Lepisosteus oculatus: one gene and its partners. The protein of the gene in region 2 purifies or fractionates together with the protein of the main gene of each other region. This does not show direct contact. Links are inferred from orthologs where the notes say so. Each region holds a gene or a part of one and is shown on either strand. Other genes may lie near its edges.

Region 1 (7,419 bases), on a different chromosome or scaffold from region 2:
ACTTTAAAACTCTTCAACTCTTTGATTTTGTATCGGTTCTATCATCTGCAGAAAGCCCTTAAGAAACAGATTTGTTAAGGCAAGAATTATTTTTAAAGTATGCTACAACAGGGCCATAATTTGGATTCCTTGGACTGTTTGATGCCCTGTCCCCTTGGATTAGTGGTTAAGATTTGGTCAAACCCAAGCTTAGGCATTTCCCCTTCACGAACAAGTCCATCGGGCTCCAGGCAAATTCGTTTGTGACTTTTGTGAGTTGTGACTACCACAGAACACAAGGTAATGTTTTAAACAGTGTAAGGTATTTCTGCTTTTGGTGTGTTCTTTGTTTACCTGCATTGACTGTTGATTACACTAGAGACCTGACAGTATCAAACCCACCCTTGACAAACAGGTACTCACTCATTACATTACAGAAAGGAGCTGTGCATAATCAATTGAGCTTTGCATTAACTGGGGAGATATAGGCCAACACAAGTTGTCTGCTGAAATAATTAGCTTGGAAATAATGTGTACGCACTATAGTAAAGAAATCTTTGGCTAATGGAGAACTTCAGAACTGTAGTTTATGAACTAAGTTCATACTGCCATTTGTTATGGATTATTTTATCCTTGCTTGGCTTCTGGGAAAATTGGCCTTAGATGTGAGTGTGTCTGTCTTTGTATCTGTTTGCCCTCCTATGGCCTGGTTAACGTCCTGTCCAGGGTGGATGCCGCCTTGCTCCCTGTAACTTGCTGGAGCAGACTCCGACTCCGACCCAGAATTTTAAGAAGCAGTTAGGAAATGGAGGGATGATGGTAGGTGGGCCCAGCCAGGACACTAGGGAAACACTCCTACTCTCACACAGGAATGGCAGAGTAATCAGGACCTGAGTGTAACATCTCCTCCTAAGGCCGGCGCCTGATACACCACAGTGCCCTGGCTTCCAAGCATTGGATTCACAATGGGGAAGAGTGCCCCCTACTGGCCTGCAGCCATGCTATTTTCCTTAAAAGTCTCCCATCCCAGTACTGACTAGACTCAGCGCATTCTGAGATAATGGCTGTAGGGGGGGGAACATTGTCATTTGTAAGAGTTGTTACTTTCGGTGTTTGTTCGTCACTTCAGCATGTTTAGAACTGTAATCACAATTTAAGCTAGTATCACTGTAAGATGAAGCGTGGTCTCCAATTAACAGTGCTTCTGTAACTGTAATATTATTTCTGACAGGTCCTGGGTCTAATGGGAAGGTGCAGTTTCCTTGCCATTTGCTGCACCCAGTTCTTCTCTATGATTAAGTTTTAGCCAGTGGCTTCTGGGTGTTGTCTTTAGCGGAGCTGCTTAAGTTTCAGCCTGGATGACAGAAGAGAGTCACCTTAGTCCTCTGTCTTCATGACCTTTTCTCCTGTGTGTTTCCAGTGGATGACAGTGCCATACTGGATTGCCAGTTCAGCGACTTCTACCACACGCCACCCCAAGGGTTTGAGAAGATCCTGTTCGAGCAGCAGATCTTCTAAAAAAAAAAAAAACACTGCCTCTCGTGAACGCACCTGCACTCTTCCAAAGCTCTCTGTCTGTGTGTTTCTCTGAAGCTCTGTGACTTGTATCATTGTCCGGTTTGTATGGAGTTCTCCTGTGAAAGCTTTATGTTCCAGCCTTGTTCTTCCCAGTGCGCAGTCTGGAGATCAACTGGAAGACCCTAGGTGTTAAAGTACTCCAACGTCTCAGTGTGGACCAGGCTTTGTTGCTATATTTAAAAGAAAGAAAACTGCACTGATAGTGTCGGCCCTGCTCTTCAAGTCCCGTGTAAAAAGCAGTGCAGATTTCTAGTAGTAGCAGTGAAAAACACTAGGTTTATATTGTCAGCAGTCTTGACTGAGCCCCTTTGATGTAGGAATGAAACTTTCTCTCTTGCACCATGTTGGGAATAATTTCTGCACATTGGTTACTGAATTCAGGTGTATAAGATGGTATCGTGTCACTAGTAACTGTTGAAGCCATAGTTATGAAGCCTGTGATACAGTACTGTCTATTGGTGTTGAAATTATTTTGCTTTTTGTTGTAATCTACATTCTACATGTCCACATTGCCTCACTTCTTGAGGTGTTTAACTTGAATTTGACATCATTAATGAAACATTTCTAGTTCCACATATTGGGAGATGGTTCACAAATGCAGTATACTGATAATGAGTTGTCGTTTCACCGATTAGCTCACTGCATAAAGCCGTCTGATGAATATAAAATGTATGTTGTAAAACGCTATAGAACTTTTCACTGTTGATTTTCCTTTCACATAAACCCCCCAATATCTCTTTTTTTCTCCCCCTCTCAAACCTTGTTTTGTGACGGAAAAAATAAAATCCAAAATGAATCCTGGACGCCGACAACTTCGCTAAAATAGGTCTCATTAGTTTTGGCTGCCGAAATTCAGGGAGGTCTTTTTCAATAATGAGCACATTTTAAACCGTTCTTTTTCCCCCATTATGGAGACAATTTTTTCCTTTTTCGTTGCTGACATCCGTTTTAAATGTTTCAAAACAATGTTTTGTTTGCACTAATGAAACTTGATGTGTTGAGTATTAAAAATCCAAATGGGTTTTGTTGTAAGTCTACACTAAAATAAAAAATTTGCACCTGGACTAAGGAGTTTCTCAGTTTTGAAGATCATTGGTGTTTGGTTTTAGATCTCACTTCAGTATGCAAGTATTTCGCTGGTTGCCAATATAAATAGCAAGTTGGTTTACTGGCCTTTAAATATGAAAGCTCTCGGGTTTCTGAGCATATTTCTCAAGATCTACAGGGTTTGCTTAGGTTTTATCCTCTCTGGTATGCATGAAGATTATCACAATATTCCAGGTGGCCCTGCCCACAAGCTGCAATTAAATGAAGATTAAAGACATCTCAACTCTTGTTTTCTAATGCATTTTATATTTCCTACATTAAATATGCACAGATGACCAAGATTTTTTTTTCTTGCACTAGCTAACTGAAGTTACTTGCAGAGGGAAGGTGATGAAAGGAGCGGGAGGGGAAATAGAATCGATAGTTTTTTGCCTCCCTGTAACTCTCCATTATCTGGTAGAGTGTACATCCCAGCCTCTAGGGAGCGCACATCGCGTATCTTTTGTCACCCATCCCTCGTGAGGGAGGGGCGGGCTGGGCGCGACCTTGGGCTCCACTTCATCGGGGACGCGCCTCAGTTGCGCGTGTTCTGGGCACGTGTTGCCGTAAGAAAACATTTGCTCAAGCAATCTCTTGTATCCCGGTTTCAAATAATATAGTCAGGCCGGTTTAGGTGTGAGCAGTTATTTTTAAAAAAAAACAAGTCTCGTTTCAACATTAGCATAATGTGCACGGGAATTGTAGGCGAACAAGAAGACGCGTTTGATAGTAGGATCCGGTATCCTAGTGCAGGAATAATTTTAATACAGGCATATCCTGGAATGACAATCGCACATTTCGCTTCTTTTATACAAATCAAGAACTAGTATATACCTTTCAGTATAGTTATATAGTGTGTAGGCTGAAATGTTTACATCACACCTTTAAATTCTCCATGTGCTCAGACAGTATGAGAACCCTGAAAATCATACGTATTGTGAACCGAAAGAAGTTCGTCCGTTGCGTGTTCTAGTTGAAATTGCATTTTTAAATGATTTTAGATTGACAAAGCTATTCGTTTGATTTTTTTTTTTGGAAAATGGGTGTTGATTTGAAAACATTACATATCTTCTCCAGAAAATAATCCTTTAAGCGAATATCTCAATTTTGATAGGTACAGTATGCTCGTCCAAAATACTAGGGTGTATTTCTTGTGCTATCTTTTACTCTGCTGAAGCACATTTTCCCACCTCAAGACACTAAAAATAATCTGGGAACAGTATTTTTAGGTTTGTAACATCTGCTTTTTCTGTATGAAATGTAGGCGCATTTAAAACGTTTCCGTCTGTTGAGGAATTCTGAACTTGAATTCAGTTTAATATTTAACAAAAGACGTCCATAATTTGACATATTTGCTTAAATCTAGCTCTATAAATTGTGAAATTTAACGCCCCATGTTGTGTACTTAGTTGCTTTACTATTCCGTATTGTGCTGTCTGAATTAATATGCATGTTTCCATGGATTCAACGCACCAGATGTGATGCTTTAAAGACACAATTAATCTTTGATATATACGGTGCAATTGAACTCCGTTAAAGACGACACAGCTCGACTGTTAACTTCCTGTAGAGGGAACACCAACATGTATGTAAAGAATCTATGCACCACAACGGTATTCTTGTGTATTTATCGGAACTGTCCATGTTTCTAACTTACGTAAGGCATGCGCACTCTTTATAACGTGAAATACACTGACGCAAGTCTACAAGTAGGCTGGAATAACGACCTCAAAACCCCGTTTGCTGGGGGAGAAAACTCGGGAGCGATCTAGCCAACAGCCGATGTAATCCGCCGGCTAGAGACGCGGGCTAGCTGAAGGCCCTCGCTGTGTTTATATTTGTCGATGCGCACATCCATTGTGCAATCGCACCCCAACCAACAGCTCGCTCGCAGCGCCGGGGCCTCTCTCCGGCTTTCTCCAGCTGCCGAGCGTGGCTCCTCCTTCCCGGCCCTCCTGCCCCGCCGCCTTCCGTTACGTCTGGCCGCCCCCCTCTCCGCTGCACAGCGGACTGTCTCACCCCCTCTCTCTCTCTCTCACTGGAGCTCCGAGCGCCGGACCGCACTCGCACCGAGCACACACAGAGCCATGGCAGAAAACGCCGGCTTGGAGAACCACCGCATCAAGAGCTTTAAAAACAAGGGACGCGATGTCGAGGTAAGGGGGGAGCCCAGGGGATGGCGGCATGGTGGTGGTGGTGGCGGCGGCGCCGCGGCGGGCCCGGCCGGGCCGGTCCGGTCCGGGCTGAACCGGGGTGGGGGCGCGGGCGGTGAGCGGCTGTGCCCTCCGGGCCTTGCGACCGGCTGTGGGTTTTTTTTTTTTTGCTGGATGCTGCTGCTGCTGCTGCTGTTGCTGTTGGGGGTAAGAGGAGCGTTTATTCCGGAACAACCCCCACCGCCGCCGCCGCCACCACCACCATCATCATGCAGTGCGGGCGCGGCCTAAAGGAAAGGCCTTCTCTGTGCCATTAAACCGCGTTTTAATCGTTCCTCCACCGTCTTATGCTTTTCCCTAGTGAAAAAAATAATAATAAAGCGATTAACCTGTGCTTTTCTTCTTTTGGTTTTATTCGGGGCCTTTTTAATTGCTGTGGGGGGAAAAAAAATCTAGTTAGCATCACACTCAGTTGAGCCTCTTTTTTTTTTTCTTTTTGCTCTGCTCTTGGTAATGGTGTTCCTGACAAAACGGTCTACGAAAAATGGGGTTCTGTCCTAGCCTTTTCCCTCCCCTCTCAAATCTTCCCTGATTTGGAGAAAAAAAAAAGCAAAGAGGGGGGGAAAAACGAGACTAGAAAGGAGAGCGTAGCCAAGAGCCGGACTGGCCAAACGGCGCACTTTTCCGCATTTGAAAGGGGCGGCTGTAGCACGCCTTTCCCTGCCCAGATGTAGAAAACCGAGCAGGCCGTAAGCCCTTGACTCGGCTGCAGGGACAGAGACGGCGCCTGACCCAGCCGGCTCCTCAGGCGGCCGGTCGCCGGCGACATGCAGAGTGAATGTGATGGATTGTCATTGTTGAGATCACGATGGGCCCTGTAACATTTGAAACGCAACCTGTGTGCAGCCCGTGAGGGATTGTGCTACTGCGGTAAAAGCCGGCCCCGAAGTCATGGGGTTTTGTAGCTCTGTTGCTGTGTTGTATGCAGGATTGCTTCCGTCCGTGGTTTGATTAGGTTAGGGCACACAACTAGTTTTTAAGGGCCTGGCATGCATATGACGGTAAATGAATACATCAGTCGCTGTAACTCAGGTGCGTTTTCACTTTTTTTTTTTACCTGCGCTGTTTTGGGAGGAGATCTAAGCAATATGTGCGGCACAGTGGGAGAAGATGTAAGGACACAGTTCGTTAGAAAGAGGCATAGCGGTTGGTGCTGATAATTAAGGGACTGGGAGATATGATTGCAGACGTCTCACTGGCGTGCTGAATGAAATTTAAAATTCAAAAAATCGTCTAAGGTGCTAGTGCGGGTGCCTGTTGTTTCAAAGTGCGTTTTGCGTTTAGCTGTTCTGCCTTGAAGTTCGTACATTGAAGCTTTTGCGGTTTCGTTTTACTTTATTGGTGTTACAAATCGGCAAGCAGAGAAGGAACAAACGGGGATTATTCATTCACTGCGCTAACGATTCTTAGCCTGGTTTGATAAGTGTTGCAATACTTGGAAAATGAGGTAAATCCACTTAAGATCTCCAAGGTTTTGCTAATGCTGAGCGTTTTTCGTGGGAGACTAGCGCGATTGCTTTATAATGGCATTGTTTGCACAACTATTTCGCGTGGACACCTCTGATCTCCTGAGATATGTAGGCTCTGTGTCCTGTTCATCACAGCATACACACAAGAACAGCCCTCTTGGGAAACATACAACCTCATCTCAATTTTAGGACATGCCCCTAATTTTAGGTTGGACTGCTGTTTCTTTAGACCAAGATGATTACAGGCTGACCCACATCTGTCGTTTAAAGGGTTGTTGGATGACCATGGCACTGTGCAGTCTTTTCTGACCAGCTCTTGTTTGTCATTTGTTGCCACATCAGGCTCTGAACTTGCCTATTGTAGCAACTGTAGTTACCTGTGTAGTTGTTCAGTCTGAAGCTGTGACAGCTTGACTTTAACATGCCGTCTATGTGTATCTTTTCAATGGTTGTAGAATCTCATCTTTATTTAGAATTGTTTTTTTTGACTGAGCAGTCTTTCTCTTATGGATTTCAGGGACCACCTATGCATTCATGACTTTATGCAGCTGTTTTTTTTTTAAATTGAGCTCATTTTGCCTCATTTGAATCCTTTGGATTGTTTGCGCTCTGGCGCAGTCATGTGTTTCAGGTTAATTTAATAACGGTAGAGCTACCTGAATGCCTCATCTGATGGAAATGGAAGACCTGCTAATCGGGCAAGGTGTTTGGTCAGTTCGGGTACGAAGAAGGTGACTATGGCTGGAGCCGCAGTAGAAACGAAAAGACAAGGTGTATCTAAAACTAGGAGCTGAGAAACCAGGTCCCACAGCTCTGTTTTGCTACAGGAACACTTCCATCACATGGCCGGTGTGAATGTGCAGTTTGTGGAGATGTCATTTCTAATACACTGTACCAGTCCTGATAAAGAGTCCTAGGATTGCGTGCAGTGCATTTATTAACACTTTCTAACTGGAACGCACAGTGGGCTGTTTTTGAGTTCATGCTTTGTTTGTCTCATGATATGATATTTCATGGTATATGGAAACAATATAGCCTTTAATAATGCATTAAGTTCTTTTCAAATAACTCAAAGTGCTGTACGGTAGTATGTG
Region 2 (7,078 bases):
CTGTCTGATCTATGCAGCAGCTTCTTCCTTTTAGCTGGTTTTGCTGATCAATATATTGTAAAGGAAGAATCCGTCTGTGAACTAGAATCCTTTTAAGTTATGTCAGGGTCATAAAGCCGAACCACTGGAATCTGAATAACAGTAGGTCCAACAAGTTTGCTTTTTACCATACTTAGTTTAACACAAAAAAGACAACTAACCACGTATACTGTACGTTGGTCTACATTTTTAGGGTCCTCTCCGAGCGGGTGCTGTCTTCGGATTTGAGTTCCTTCTAGGTTCACCTAAAGAAATTAATTATTGAATAGATTATTCACATGCACCACAACACCTCACATTTAACCATTATTTCTCTCAGTCAAGAGGTTAAGGATTAAAGGAAATATGTACAGAGGCTATAAAACATACAATATTATTTAAAGGCTTTGAAGACACACCCTAAGCTGATCTGTAAGGTTGTAAGGGAAGACATGAGAAGTGACTACATTGAGGAACATTTTCTATTAAAATATAACTCCAAGAATTCAGGAATTGTTCAGAAAATAATATTAGCTCACTTTTGTCGTTTTCGAAAATGTTTTAACCAACTTCGTTAGTCCAATTTTATTTACAATCTCTTAAATGCATGAAGAAGAATTCCCTCATGCATTCCCGTGAGACCCAAGACATGTCATCTTTAGGGGGAAAATAAGATTTTAGCCGCAGAATATTAAAGCTCATACACTCAAAATTTGCGACTGGCGTTTTCAGCCTTTTGGATCAAGATGTGATTAAATTGTAACATAGATTCAAGAGCTGACATGATTTTGAATGGCATTTATATCACTGTAAATACTTCTTTATTTCTTCTACAAAAGGTTTATAATGGAAAACAACTTACCTCTACTACAGGCGAATTTTTCAGAGCTCTTGCAATTAATTTCACATCAGTTGTCAACTTTTTCATTCGGTTGAAAGACGTTAACACAGAAATATCTATGTCTGTAAAGAATTATAACAGAGGTTATTGAAGAAGAACTGCAAGGATAAACAGTCATGTTTATTCCATTTAAAAATAAATCACACCTATAGTATGTAGTCTCTTTAGGTCTTTCCATAAGTATATTAAAATGCATAGTCGAATGATTAAAGTGAGCAGATTGCCATTTCCTCATTCTGGCCCCTTAAACGTCTTAGCACTCCTGCACAAATATCAGTATTTAAGAACTCAGGAGGAGCAAAAAACAGAAGATAGACTGATCTCCTAGGCCCAAGTTTCGGAACCACTCTTAAAACACATTTGCCTTGAAACTGCTAAACCGACAAGCATTAGACCACCAGTTAATGGAAATACTGATGTGGTGCAAGAAATTCACTGAATGCTTTAACATCAGGAAAGTGTTTAACTACTTTACATAATATTTAAGTGCTTTGTATTACAGGAAGGCAAAGTAAATCATCACAAAGCTCTAAACTCGGTAACAAATATTTTTAAAACAAGGCAAGTACTGTATATGGGCACTTGTGTCATATCCCTATATACTGTACACCAAATACACATGAGTAAATGCATTTTACGTTATAACTTAGAATATGTGTTATATACAAGAAAAACAGACATTATAAGAAAAATCTCTAACTTGCCGTTTGTGCATTGGAAGGGTTTAATGATTAAAACATTGCTGAATCTAATCTGGAAGACAAAGATAATACAGAACACTCACATCCATCCCTGGATTTCTCCAGAAGTTCTCTTAAAAATTTGTCTTTGTAGAGATTGACATCACCAAACCAAAACTCCACTTGCTTTTTCACATCAGAAAGGAGCTGTTTCACTCTCGATCTCTTTTTTTTCTCTTTTTCTTTCTTTTTTTCACTGCAGTCCCCCTTGATGCTGTCACTTCCCGCTTGTTTACTCTCTGTGTCAATCATTTCTGCCACTGTAAAGAAATTGCAGAATTATTTTCAGTTACTGTACTGTACTTACATTATACAGTTGGTGTCTGTATGCTGAGGTTATCTTTAGTTCTTTCCACGGAAAGGTTAGCATAAACTCAATCTCTGATTTTCCCCCTAAAGATGACATGTCGTGGGAATTCTTCCTCATGCATTCTACAATGAACAATTTCACGATAAGTACATTGAGTGTTATTTTTAATTAAAACTTTATTGTAAGTATTAACTAATAACTAAATCAAGACGTTTCCAGATGACCGATTCATTACCCGAAGCACAGCACATTATAGTTTTTAGGGATAATTCTGATTTTACAGTTGCAAAAATAATAATAATCTTAGAATAAATAAATAAATAAATAATGGTACATATATAAAATAATGCTAAAAGTACCGATTTCTAAACGGCTTCTTAAAGTGGTTAAATATTACCTACAGAACTTTCCAGTTTGTATGGATTGTTATGTGTTTAAAGCGAAAAAAATTAAAACATTATCTTCAAAAACGATTTGTTTACGCTTCTGTTGCATGAATCAAACAGCCCAACAACACCCGTGCTATTCTTGCACATAAGAGTCCTGTTATTTTGTTTGCAAACACTCTCGAGTAACGGAGAAAACGCCCCTTCTAAAAGTAATCACTAGTTTACCAAACGTGCGATTTAACATTTTCATTCAAAACTGCAAAACGACGTATTACCATGAATCGTCTTTACCACATCGCACGAAACACAAGCGAAACATTACAGTCTTCTTATTTTGTACTCACAAGCACATACAGTACCAGTCCGCCGCAAATCCTTTGAAACTCAGACTATTTCCCCCTCACGCGGCCAGGGAGAAGGACCTTTCGCACATTTTTCCAAAATTCTCACTGACTAACAAAAGCCAACACAATAACTTAAAATATTTCAAAGCAATTGTGACCCTTTTTAGTTTCAGTATATTATTTGTCTTTTAACAAAGAAGCGTATTTGTTTCCATCAATCAGATGTTTTACCTTTAACTGATTCAGGCGCTTTCTGAGGAAGTGGACTGTCGCTACTCGATGACGTTTTACCCGCGGGTAATATGAACAATTCTCGTCCCGCTTTTATCGTTCTTGACTCAGCAAGGCTTGATAAGACTGTATTCAAACAGTCAGCTTGCGTTTTCAGGCTCTCTTATCAAGCAAAATTGACTCAGAGAACAGAACGGTAGACAAGAAATCTTACCGTTATAAAATCTTACGGGAGCGCATATTTTGCAAAATATGTTTTCCTACAAATGTAATTATTCATATTTTGTAATAAATAACGTCGACCTTCAAAATGACAGCAAACTCCTAAAAGTACTATCATAAAGCAGTTTTAGCAAATTAAACGAAACTAAAAAATGCTATATTCTCCAGTTGTTACTCACGGAAATTGTTTTCTTTATTGATATACAGTATTTAGGTTCAAAGACAGTTCTACTTTTAAACAGGACATTGAAGTATCGACCTGTTATTCTCCCTCCATTCAAAGTTTTATTTGCATGTAAAACATTTTAGATATCATTTGTGGATAAGTGGGGGTTCTGCTACTAATATGTATTACTGGGTGAATAATGTTCTATGGGGATAAGAACACACTTTGAGCGATGCCTTAAATAAACTGGAAGTCTGAAACAGCTTTTGCATATCTACATAGAAGACAACTAGAGGAGCAAGTCCTCTGAATGCAGAAACACGCTGAAAAAAACAGTCTCTTTGACTTGGTTAGAATCAAACGTGAATCACAAGCCAGAGGACACAACTGGAAACTACAGAATCTACAGGAAAGTGCATTTACAACTTACAGCTCGGGCTTCTTTCTTGAAACAGGTGGATGAGAACTTCGAATTACTAAACTACTAACAACCAAATGCCCTGAAGGTCATTGATGAACATTTCTCATGCTCTTATGATTAAAATGCATGGGATATAATTTTGAGATACAAAAAATAACTTATCAATTATTTCAACATATCAAACATATCTGGGAAACAATGAAAAGTGATATTTTAAAGATTCTCTTCAGGTTGATTTGTTAGCATTATTAACACTTGGAGTGGTGGCACTGTTGCTAAGGCTCTGTATCCGGGGCTGGAAGGTTGCCTGTTCAAATCCTACAGCTGGCAGAGGAATCCTACTCTGTTGGGCACATGAGCAAGGCTCTTAACCCCAACTGCTCCAGGGGTGCTGTATAAATGACTGACCCTACACTCTGACCCCAAGCTTCTCTCTCCCTATCTGTGTGTCTAATGGAAAGCAAGCTGGGGTATGTGAAAAAGACAAATGCCTCATGTAAGAAATTGTATATGGCTGATAAAGTGATCCTATCTCTTATCATATTTTGATAAATTATAGCAATACATTTGTTAATAAAAAGGTACATTTAACTAGACTGCCACCTAGTGTCTTAGATGTCTAGAAATTCTGTTTTATTGAGGTCTGGTGGTTCCCTAAAGCATTAGATTCTCAATTTGGCTAAGAAACTGTGGTGTTAATGAGAGAGAGGGGACACAGCATTCTAAACCATGGGGTTTATTTTCAACAGTAAAAACCCAAGAGATAATTAACAAAAGAAAGATACATGAATAAAACATCTTCTCTTAATAAATATGTGCTACCATTAAATTTCGAAAAAAGAAATCATTATATTCATGTCGCACCAAATTAACCACACACCAATGACATCTATTTACAGATAAAAAAAAACCTAGTCTAAAAGCAAGACAAATCTACTCACATCACACAGAAATCATTTTGCAGAGCAGAAAGCGAGCATGAAATAATCTGGAAGATTAACGCAGAAACCAGGTTTACCCCATACAGCCTAACCTATTAGCAAGAATATTTTCTCTTAGTCTCCGAACACACTACTCAACTGGAGACCCTTCAACAGAAATAGCTTATTCTAGTGAAAGAAGGCCAAAAAACAAACATGCTCGCTGCAGTGCACGTGCATGTTTGTGTGTTCTCTGAGATGAAGACATGTCCTGTCGAGGGTGTTTCCTGCCTGTTGTCTTCCAGAATGGACTTTGACTTTATCCACAATTCTGCACTGGATAAAGATAGATACTTTATTGATCCCGTGAGGGAAATTGCAGTGCAACAGCAGCTTAGCACAGTCAACACAGGACAGTGTAACGAAATGATACAACAATACAATACAGTCAGTACAATCAGTGAGAAGTGCACTAAAAAGAGTTGCTCACAGTACAGAATATACAAAAACCAGAACAGTACACAAAAAGTTGTATTGCAAATTATAAATATAAATACATAGAAAGCGGTTAGACAATGGATGGACAGAAATAAAACTGTTTAGCATTGTTATTGTGAATGTACACATCACGTGTGTAATAACCGAATTAGATTTAAATTCTAATGTCACCAATGTTAGCCAATAGCCATATCACCCTGCAACTCACAACTGGCAGCCCACTGAAACTAAGCGGGTGTGAGCCTGGTCAGTACCTGGGAGACCTTACCCTGCAGTCCATGTGGGTCCTAATGCCCCAGTATAGTGACGGGGACATTATACTGTAAACAGGCGCCGTCCTTCAGATGAGATGTAAAACCGAGGTCCTGACTCTCTGTGGTCATTAAAAATCCCAGGGTGTTTCTCGAAAAGAGTAGGGGTGTAACCCCAGCGTCCTGGCCAAATTTCCCATTGGCCCTTCCAATCATGGCCTCCTAATAATCCCCCTCTATGAATTGGCTACATTACTCTGCTCTCCTCCCCACTGATAGCTGATGTGTGGTGAGCGTTCTGGCACACTATGGCTGCCGTCGCATCCAGGTGGATGCTGCAAATTGGTGGAGGGGAGTCCCCATTACCTGTAAAGCGCTTTGAGTGGAGTGTCCAGAAAAGCGCTATATAAGTGTAAGCAATTATTATTATTATTATTATTATTAACCCTGTAATTAACTTGGATCTTCTTTGCTTATTTACCAGAAGATAAAGAGTCTGAAAGTATTTAGTTTAAACTTTTAAACAGACAAAGACTGGTATTCAATTATTTAAAGCCATACACAGTATGAAGTTTGGTTAGGGTGGATACCATCTTAGAAATATATTCACACTAGACTGAAAAAGAAAAAAAATACTTTCCCAGAATATGACAATACAGGGAACAAAGTACTATACAGTATGTAGGGATTTATTTGTTTAATTGTTCAAATGTGATGTGCACTTTCTGAGCCTTGCATATCATTTTGCTTTTTACTATATTTGATCTGTAAATCAAAAGGATAAAATTGTTTCAAACTTTTCTAGTTTTTTTCGGATACTGTCATCATTGCACTGAGCAATTCTGGATCTGACCAGGTGTTTCAACTTTGTGTACCACTGCTGTACCCAACATATTTCCAGGTTTAGAATGGAAACATTACAGACTTTACAAAGAAAGTTAACAAGTTTCTCATCACTGTTCACTTCACACCTCTGTAGAACCCATTTGCCCCACTCTTGCCAAAATGCATCATCTGTGAAGTTGATGACAAAGAATCTTTCAGGAGAGATGCTCCTCAGTTTGTCCTCTTCTTCTTTGTCCACTTCATTCCAAACTGCGCTGAAACAATGCCAATTTGGATGATAAAGTGATTCACTTCTGTTGTTTTTCAGGTTGATCAAAAATGTTAATTAGTAAGGTTTATTATCCATGCTGCCATTTATTTCCTTACTGTTTCATTCAATTTAGGGTTGTGGGGGAGCTGGAGCCTATCCCAGCAAACAGTGGACAAAGTCTGGGAACACCCTGGACAGCACAATAGTCCGTCACATTACAGACACAAAAACACTCTCATCAGTGACAATTATCCTAGAAGCAATTAATCTACCAGGATGTCTTTGGACTGTGGGAGAAAACCAGGTATGAAATCCCACACAAACATGGAGACCACATAAAAACTCCACACAGATGGCGCCCCAGGCTCAGAATTGAACCCAGAACCCCAGCACTGCAAGGCCGAAGTGCTATTTAGGTTCATCATTGTAATTAAAACACACTGAATGATTACTCAATTAAAACCTCTAGGCTCTGACTCCCCTGTGACCCTGTATTGGATAAACAGTTTAGAAAATGGATGGATGAATGGCTAAAACATTCAGGATTTGACCACAATGAAAACAAACCATG
Region 3 (7,333 bases), on a different chromosome or scaffold from region 2:
GGACCTAGGGCACCCGCACTCTGGGACAGCAATGCTAATCACTGTACTTCCATGCTACCCGTCTTAAACTCTTCCCTCCTCCTAAAACTTCTCTTCCGTCTCGAAGACACAACTACAGGACGTGCTGGACTGTGAATCCTGAATCCCAGCAGAGCAGTCCCAGAGCTTGAATTTGAATTTTAGGGAGACGTGGGAAAACGCACATCTAGGGCACAGAAGACATTCTTCCTCCAGCCCCGCGTCAGGGAGTAGAATGTCTTCTGGCGTCCTGAAACGCCACCACAGACGAGTATAAACCCCCCCCCGACACTGAAGCCCTGAGGCCGCGACGAGATGAGTTACTCTTTCTTCTGCTCCTCAGCAGGCTTCTTCTCCTCCTTCTTCTCCTCCTTGCTTTCGGGTTCCTTGCCGTCTCCCTTGGCCTGCCCGTCCTCAGCAGCAGGGGCCGGGGCCGGCGCCGGGGCCTCGCTCTCCTGCTCCTCCCCTGCGGACGCCGACTCCTCGGAGCTGGCGTCGGGCTCTGCGCAGAGACAGGGAGGAAAAAGAGCAAGTCCTGCTTACTCCACCAGTCAAGTGGCAAAAGACGGGCAGAGGAGCTCACTGCCATATGTACATACAAAGTGGAATTCTTATTCACGCTGATCTCTCAGGACATACACGGTACAGCAGACAACGCATCACACTGTAGACGGGGCATTACAAAACAGTACATAACACACAGTGACAACCAGAACAATAAAGATGCTGTAGAGAACAACAAACAACATGGTAGTCCAAGTCAAAGGTGCACAGTGGAGAGGTGCATTCGGTCCTGTGGCACTGCACAGTTAGCTGTTTATGATGCGCACTGCAGCAGGGTAGAGGATGTTCTTAAGATCAGTTTGTGGCCGTGATGACTGGGATCCCCAACGATGAATCGGGCTTTATTGTGACGGCGGATGGGGCGAATCTCATCAACTGATGGCAAATGACATCGGATAACCCTCTGTACCATTGCCACAACCCTTTGTGGAGAAGGACCTTTCCCCATTTTCAACTTATGGAAATTACGGAATGTCCTCCCATTGAGATCAGGATGGCCATGTCCCAGTCCAGTTTCGCTTTTTTATTGTCCTACATGTAAGGCACTATATAACTAAGAACAGATGCGGCCTTGTTCTATACAAGCGTCTCCAGCTGTAGTTTATACAGGGTCAGGAAAACCCCTCCATACACCATTTCCCTCTGTTATATATCCCTTTATCCCCCTCCAGTGGGGGAGATACCTTAAAACAATTCCCATAATCAGAACACAAGAAAGGTCATTGGGCCACTCAGTCTACCACATTCATCCTGGCTAGTATCCTATAGAATGGGGTGTCTAGAGAAACAGTGTCTGCAACGTGGCTTTGCAATTTGTCATGTTAAACCGTATTTTGCTCAGAGGTATACTGATGAAACGCAGTTTAGGGCCAGTGCAAAATTCCTTGCCTTTGTACTTGTCTAGAGAGCGTCTCGTGGCACTGCGACCGAACAGGAGGGCGCCGTTTCTGCCCAGAACCTGCAGAAGGAAGTCAAAGCCCTCGGAAGAAAGGACAGACCCCCTGGGTTGCAGTGGAAGGGGTGTGGGGTGCATGACGCTGGGTGCACCCCGAAGCCCCAGATCCCAGACCCAAACGAGGGCGGCTCACCTGCTGCTGTGGGGTTCTTGGGGGCTGTCTCCTGGGGTGGCGTCCCAGCAGCTCGGCGGATGGGCATGGCTGAAACCTGAAACAGGGGCACAGTGACTGGCAATGAGGAACAGCTCTGGCAACATCCCCAAATCGACACACGGGAGACTCACTGAAAGGTCCTAAACACCTGAGCTGTGCACCAGAAGGAAACTACATCTTGTGTTGCAATATCAGGGCTAATAGACCTTCAGTAAAACCGAAATGTTTAAATTACCTCTTTAAGTGACTGGAATCTAGCTCTTAAGAATCACTGAGTTTAATTACCATTTTTAACACAAACCCCAACGCGGCACAAGGTTTGCTACTGGTGTAAAAATATCTTTGTATAAGTAATAGTACTTTATGCACTTTATAGAAATGCACGTAGCTAGATCTTCTCCTTGCTCAAGGCTAAAATATCTCTCGCTCTATCGCGCTTTTAATTGGTGTGCGTGTTTTAAGAAAAAGCAACAATAAAAAAAGATTAGAATACTGTATGCTGGTGTAAGAAATATACATTTTTAAAATAAAATTACCAACCAATCATTACCGAAAACCTAAAGACCGCGCAGGCGTACTTAAAAATGTGTCTAGGGCCTATGCAAACAGAAATCCTACCGACTCATTCAAAAACAAACACCGTTAGGAAAAATTAAAAAAAAAAAACAGAAGAATGCTACGCTTATTACTGCCCGTGCACAGCGCACACCTCGGTGGGGATTTTCTTAAGGTTTGGATTCGTACCTCGGTTCTCCACCTCCATCGGGGAGGTGAAAACGGGATAACACAATAACAGAAACAAACTACACCTCCTACAATAAAAAAATGGAAAAATTGGCCATTTTGTCCATTGAACCTATACAGTAATGGCGTTGCAGTGAGCCGATGTTTTTTTTTTTTTAATGCATGAAGTTACAATGCAAAACAGCGTTTGCAAAAACAACAGATGAGAACAACTAATGCATTTCCACCCTGGTTTATTTTCCTCCGTTTCGATACACGCTGCTCCTTTTACTTTCTTACCTTTATTGTACTTGATGTATTTGTTTGTATTCAAACTGTCCTCTCCTTTTATTTAGAATTTGATCAGCACCCCGGCCCCGCCTCCCTGCGTAGGCACGTCACTACGTCGGGCGTCCAGGATCCTCTTCTTAAATTCTGTCCAATCACGGGCTCTCCTCAGTCTCCGGTTCTGCACCATTGTGTGCGATAGTGGCTGTCCGGGCACTGCCGAAGGCACGATGTCTACCACGTTTATATTTACCGAAAAATATGTATTCTGTATGTGTAGCAAATGAAGAGACCCGGCGTAACAGCTACGAGTTTTAAACCGAGTTTTAACTAACCCCTTGCCCATATATGACCGATAAAACCAGAAATTCGAATTCTGGAATGGCTTATAATAACATCTAACGTCAAACGCCTTTGTTCGGTCGCACTTGGATTCGTCTTGAGAGAACATCAAAATAGCCGACCCAATTCGACTTCAATAAAGAGGGAAGGTTGGGATTCTTGTTATAGAGAGCTAGAGTATATAAAAGTTTTGCCCCCTTCCTCCGGAAAAAAAAAGTCATTTATTTTTCTAAAATACCATTTGACCTAGGTGTGTGTACTGTATGTTACATCAAGTATTGAAATGTTTTAATTTGTCAGATCGCAATAAACTAGCAATACTACTTTCGCAAGAAAATAAATAGGGGTCAGTAGGGGTCTCCGGGCACTCGTAACTACAGATGTGCTCCTTTACAAATCCATGCCCACAATCTGCCGCATTATTTTCATCAACCTCCGCTCAAAGTCATAAGCCTGTCACATGGAACACAATGACAGCAGTCTTGCGCGACAGCTACCTCCGGATTGATGCGTGAGAATCCCCGCTGTGATTAACTCTTCACCTTAAAAACCCAAGTATCTCCGACCCTAGCAGCGATGAAGCAAGCGGTTAGCCGGCATGTCCCGGTTTGCTGAAGTTTATGGAAGCAGAAACGCGATACAAAAAAAAGGAACAATAGGTTTATTCCATGCTGAAAAAAAGAAGAAAGAGAACACAACGTTTTGGTCGTGGAGCCTTCTTCAGGTGTGCAAGAAGGCTGAAGAAGCACACCTGAAGAAGGCTCCACGACCAAAACGTTGTGTTCTCTTTCTTCTTTTTTTCAGCATGGAATAAACCTATTACTTGTTCCTTTGCAGCCTACGCATGCTGACGCAGCTACCCACCTGAACTACAAAAAAAAAAGGCACGCATACTCGTCATGCTCAAGCCACTAAGAACCTAAAATTAAGATGCAAGTCCACCGCTTCAGAGGGCATGAATTCGTTAGCAAAAAAGACACTTTACTATGGATGCATACAGGATAAAAATGAGTCCAGCTGCTGAGTCCAAGTCAGGGTCGCGGGGGAGCCGGCACATATCCCGGTAACCCAGAGGCGCAAGGCTGGATACACACTGCATGGGTCACCAGTCAACTGCAAGGCAGACAGAGACTCGCACACACTCACACCAGAGCCAGCTGTCCCCAGAACTAACCACTTAACCTACCAGTGTGTCTTGGGACTGTGGGAGGCAGCTCCCGGAGGAAACCCACACACATAAGGGGAGAGCATGCAAACTCCACACAGATTACACTCCAGGACAGGCGCAGGCAGGCAACAATGCTAACCACTGCGACCACAAAGACGCAAAAAAAAAAAAAAGGATGTTGAATGTTTAAGTACATTAAGTACTACTGAGGTGAAGTCATCAACCATTGAGTACAGACTCATCTGGTCCATTTGTGCTCTGGGGATTCATACACAGCACTTTTCAAGTGCTTCACGGAACACTTCTTATTTAACAAACATCTCAGATGCAGAACAGATGACCCTGTTTTGGTTCTGACCATAAAACCTTCCTATTCATACTTCGTCCTCATGAAAAAAAAAATATAGTAGTGTGGTTCCATTTGTTTTACATTGAATTCGATCTACTGAAAATGAAAGTGTTTTCAAATTAATGCATACAACAAATACACTTATAGCAAGTCATTTTATAAATGGAAAACGTTTCTCATGACCTTCACAGATATTTGCGAATGTAAGGACTTGATATTTTGCTGATAAAGGAAGGTTAAGGGAATTGAAAATCATATTTTACTATTGAGGACAAGTCTTTTGTAAAGTTTGTCAGGGATATACCTAGTGAAAACATTTGGGGTTCAAATCCTAGATAAGGCACTGCTGTAATCCTACCTTTAGCTTATTAGAGGAATTGTTCCAGATGTCAAGATGACAAATTTAAGCTGCTTTGGACAAAATTATCAGCCAAATCAATAACTGTTTAACCCAATACCCACAAATAGAACTGTACCATATTCAATACAAAGCAAAATATATAACTATAAAAATGTTTAACATAGCTAATCTTATGTATTGTAAAGCTAACAGTACTCACAGGCTCCTATGATGGCGACTACTTCAGTGCTGAAAGTTGTAAATGACGTTCAAGGGCTTCCTTGCTCTTCAGTCATCTTATTTTGTACTGTATATTGAGATTTGTCTTGATATTTTCCCATACTCAGGAGTAACTGTTTAAAACCCAGTTTCTAATATGTAATTGTAAACAAACTGATACAAACCTTATGAAGTCAGGTACTCCAACAGTATATGTTCAACAACATCCTGAGGAACACCACACATGAAGTGTGATCACCCATGGGACAGGATTACAAATCTGGAGGTTCTCCCAACAGCGAAAACAATCCGCACTGGGACTGTATCCAATATCAAATACAGGGTCATGGGGGGGCTGGGGCCTATCGCCAGCAAGCAACAGGCTCAAGGCAGGATACACCCTGGACAAGAGGCCAGGTCACCACACACCCACCGCCATCTTCCACGCACACATAGCTGAAATGAGAACAGTGGAAGCAAGGCCATATGAGCAAACCTTACGAAGACGGCAGGAAGAGCAGCCTGTGTTTCAGCGCAACCAAGCCCTGTGAGGGGGAGCCGGCTGTCTCAGATCCATTTGGCACTCTACAGGCCTTTCAAGGAAGACGGGGATACATGATTTATGACTGCAAGGAAAAGGCACCACTGTCCCACTGCTATTTTAACAACTAAAGACCAACAAAGACTTTGTTTTTGGTGTGTCCAAGTATGGTTAGTAATCTCATTATCCAGTGTCAAATCCAAACACTTAACAGATTTACAATCATAGTGCCGCTACAATGCAAATCCCTGCATCATATGCTTCATAATTCTGGGGGAAATCATAAGCCATTACCTCCAGTTGCTTGTACCACTGCTGTGGAAAACCCTTGAAGTGCATTTGACAATACTGAACACAGTATGTTTCCATTGTCAACTGGATTGACTGTGAAATACACCACTACTTTCCTGGAAGTCTTCAGCTGCTGTACCTGCTGTTCCTGACCGAACAATTTTGTCTCAAACAATATGGGAGACTTGTTTACCATCAAAACAATACCTAATAAGGATTGACTTACACTTCTCTTCCAGAAGTGTGCAAGAAATGGACCACACTGATGTTTCATTTAGTTTTTTTAAATATCTTTTTTCTTTAATGTATTTACAAGCTTTAAATTTGCTCTATAAGTCTGAAGTATTACAAGCACTTTATGTTCAGCAACCATACGTTATTTGATTTTTGTACAAGTTGCTGTCTGTACGTTCACTTAATTCTTAATTCTTCATTGTTGTTCATTTGAAGTTCTTGCAGACTGTATTGTCTTCTGAATGCGGATTTCTGCCCGTTTGGAGGATAATATACATATCACTTAGAGCAAGCCAAAGCAGAAGGAAGAGTTTTTGTGGTTATTTAATAATAACCTTTAATCTCTGATGTCTTTTAAACATCTGCCCTTCCTGTGTCTCCCCCCCACCACCCACTGACCCACCCACCCCCCTCCCCAAAAGAGCATTTCTTTACCCTGTTTTTCACCAAACAGTTTGGAATCCAGGGAGGCAATTATTCTTTCACGATTATTTTTTATCGTCCGCGCTCGTCTCCTTCTCGTGAGCATCTGCAAATGTTAAATAAACTTCCATATTTGCAGTCCTTAAAAAAATAATAAATTAAAGAGTTCAGAACCTATTTGTCTTTGTTGCACAGAAATTGGTTTTAAAGTCTTTCTTAAAAAGTAACAAAAGAAGGTTTTAAAATTTAAAACAAAAATATTTTCTATAAATAATACATGTTTAGTGCTCTCGCCTGTGAACTCAAACTCAAATTGCTGCAAGTCTTAGAACCGTACCATGAAGTTTTCAACCTTTTTTCATCTATCTGTGCATGTTTTTTTTCATTGTGTTCAGCAACAATTGGCCTTTCTGCACTAATTGGCGAAGATTCTCTCCTCTCGTCAATTATCTTCCGATTCCTCTTCAGCTTCCCTAAGCCATGTGAAAAAGGCTGTGACTGACTTCAGCGCTACTCCCTTGCCCAGCTGCTCAGCAGGGTCCTTGCTCGACTCCCATTTGTAGAAAGCATCTTCTGAGATCACGTCTTCATCGTACAAACAGTCAAAAAACATCCGTAGCAAATCTGAAAATGAAAAGCAAAGAAAACAGACTTTCTGAATTTCCTCATTCACACTTGAATTTTTATCAGTTGTCATTTTAGGACACTTCAGAGATGCAGCAGC

Evidence for each region.
Region 1: the proteins of larp7 (region 2) and kpna3 purify together in Homo sapiens (affinity purification with mass spectrometry; 3 studies listed by BioGRID and IntAct, with this or other methods). This does not show direct contact. The link is inferred for Lepisosteus oculatus from reciprocal best matches to the Homo sapiens genes LARP7 and KPNA3.
Region 3: the proteins of larp7 (region 2) and hp1bp3 purify together in Homo sapiens (affinity purification with mass spectrometry; 3 studies listed by BioGRID and IntAct, with this or other methods). This does not show direct contact. The link is inferred for Lepisosteus oculatus from reciprocal best matches to the Homo sapiens genes LARP7 and HP1BP3.

Annotation. Positions count from the first base shown.
Region 1 is NC_090710.1:26,351,035-26,358,453, reverse strand, and holds the start of kpna3 (importin subunit alpha-4), read left to right. Parts: upstream 1-4,398; 5' UTR 4,399-4,487; coding exon 4,488-4,799; intron 4,800-7,419. Other genes in the region: spryd7a (SPRY domain-containing protein 7), read left to right, coding at 1,400-1,497. UniProt on the Homo sapiens protein: Functions in nuclear protein import as an adapter protein for nuclear receptor KPNB1. Binds specifically and directly to substrates containing either a simple or bipartite NLS motif.
Region 2 is NC_090696.1:33,853,095-33,860,172, reverse strand, and holds the start of larp7 (la-related protein 7), read right to left. Parts: upstream 3,005-7,078; 5' UTR 2,934-3,004; intron 2,928-2,933; exon of another isoform or gene 2,634-2,927; intron 1,920-2,633; 5' UTR 1,912-1,919; coding exon 1,704-1,911; intron 982-1,703; coding exon 881-981; intron 285-880; coding exon 201-284; intron 1-200. Other genes in the region: NACHT, LRR and PYD domains-containing protein 3-like, read right to left, coding at 6,184-6,511. UniProt on the Homo sapiens protein: RNA-binding protein that specifically binds distinct small nuclear RNA (snRNAs) and regulates their processing and function.
Region 3 is NC_090720.1:7,261,674-7,269,006, forward strand, and holds the start of hp1bp3 (heterochromatin protein 1-binding protein 3), read right to left. Parts: upstream 3,022-7,333; 5' UTR 2,715-3,021; intron 2,520-2,714; exon of another isoform or gene 2,436-2,519; intron 1,747-2,435; 5' UTR 1,738-1,746; coding exon 1,671-1,737; intron 521-1,670; coding exon 343-520; intron 1-342. Other genes in the region: eif4g3b (eukaryotic translation initiation factor 4 gamma 3), read right to left, coding at 7,052-7,233. UniProt on the Homo sapiens protein: Component of heterochromatin that maintains heterochromatin integrity during G1/S progression and regulates the duration of G1 phase to critically influence cell proliferative capacity.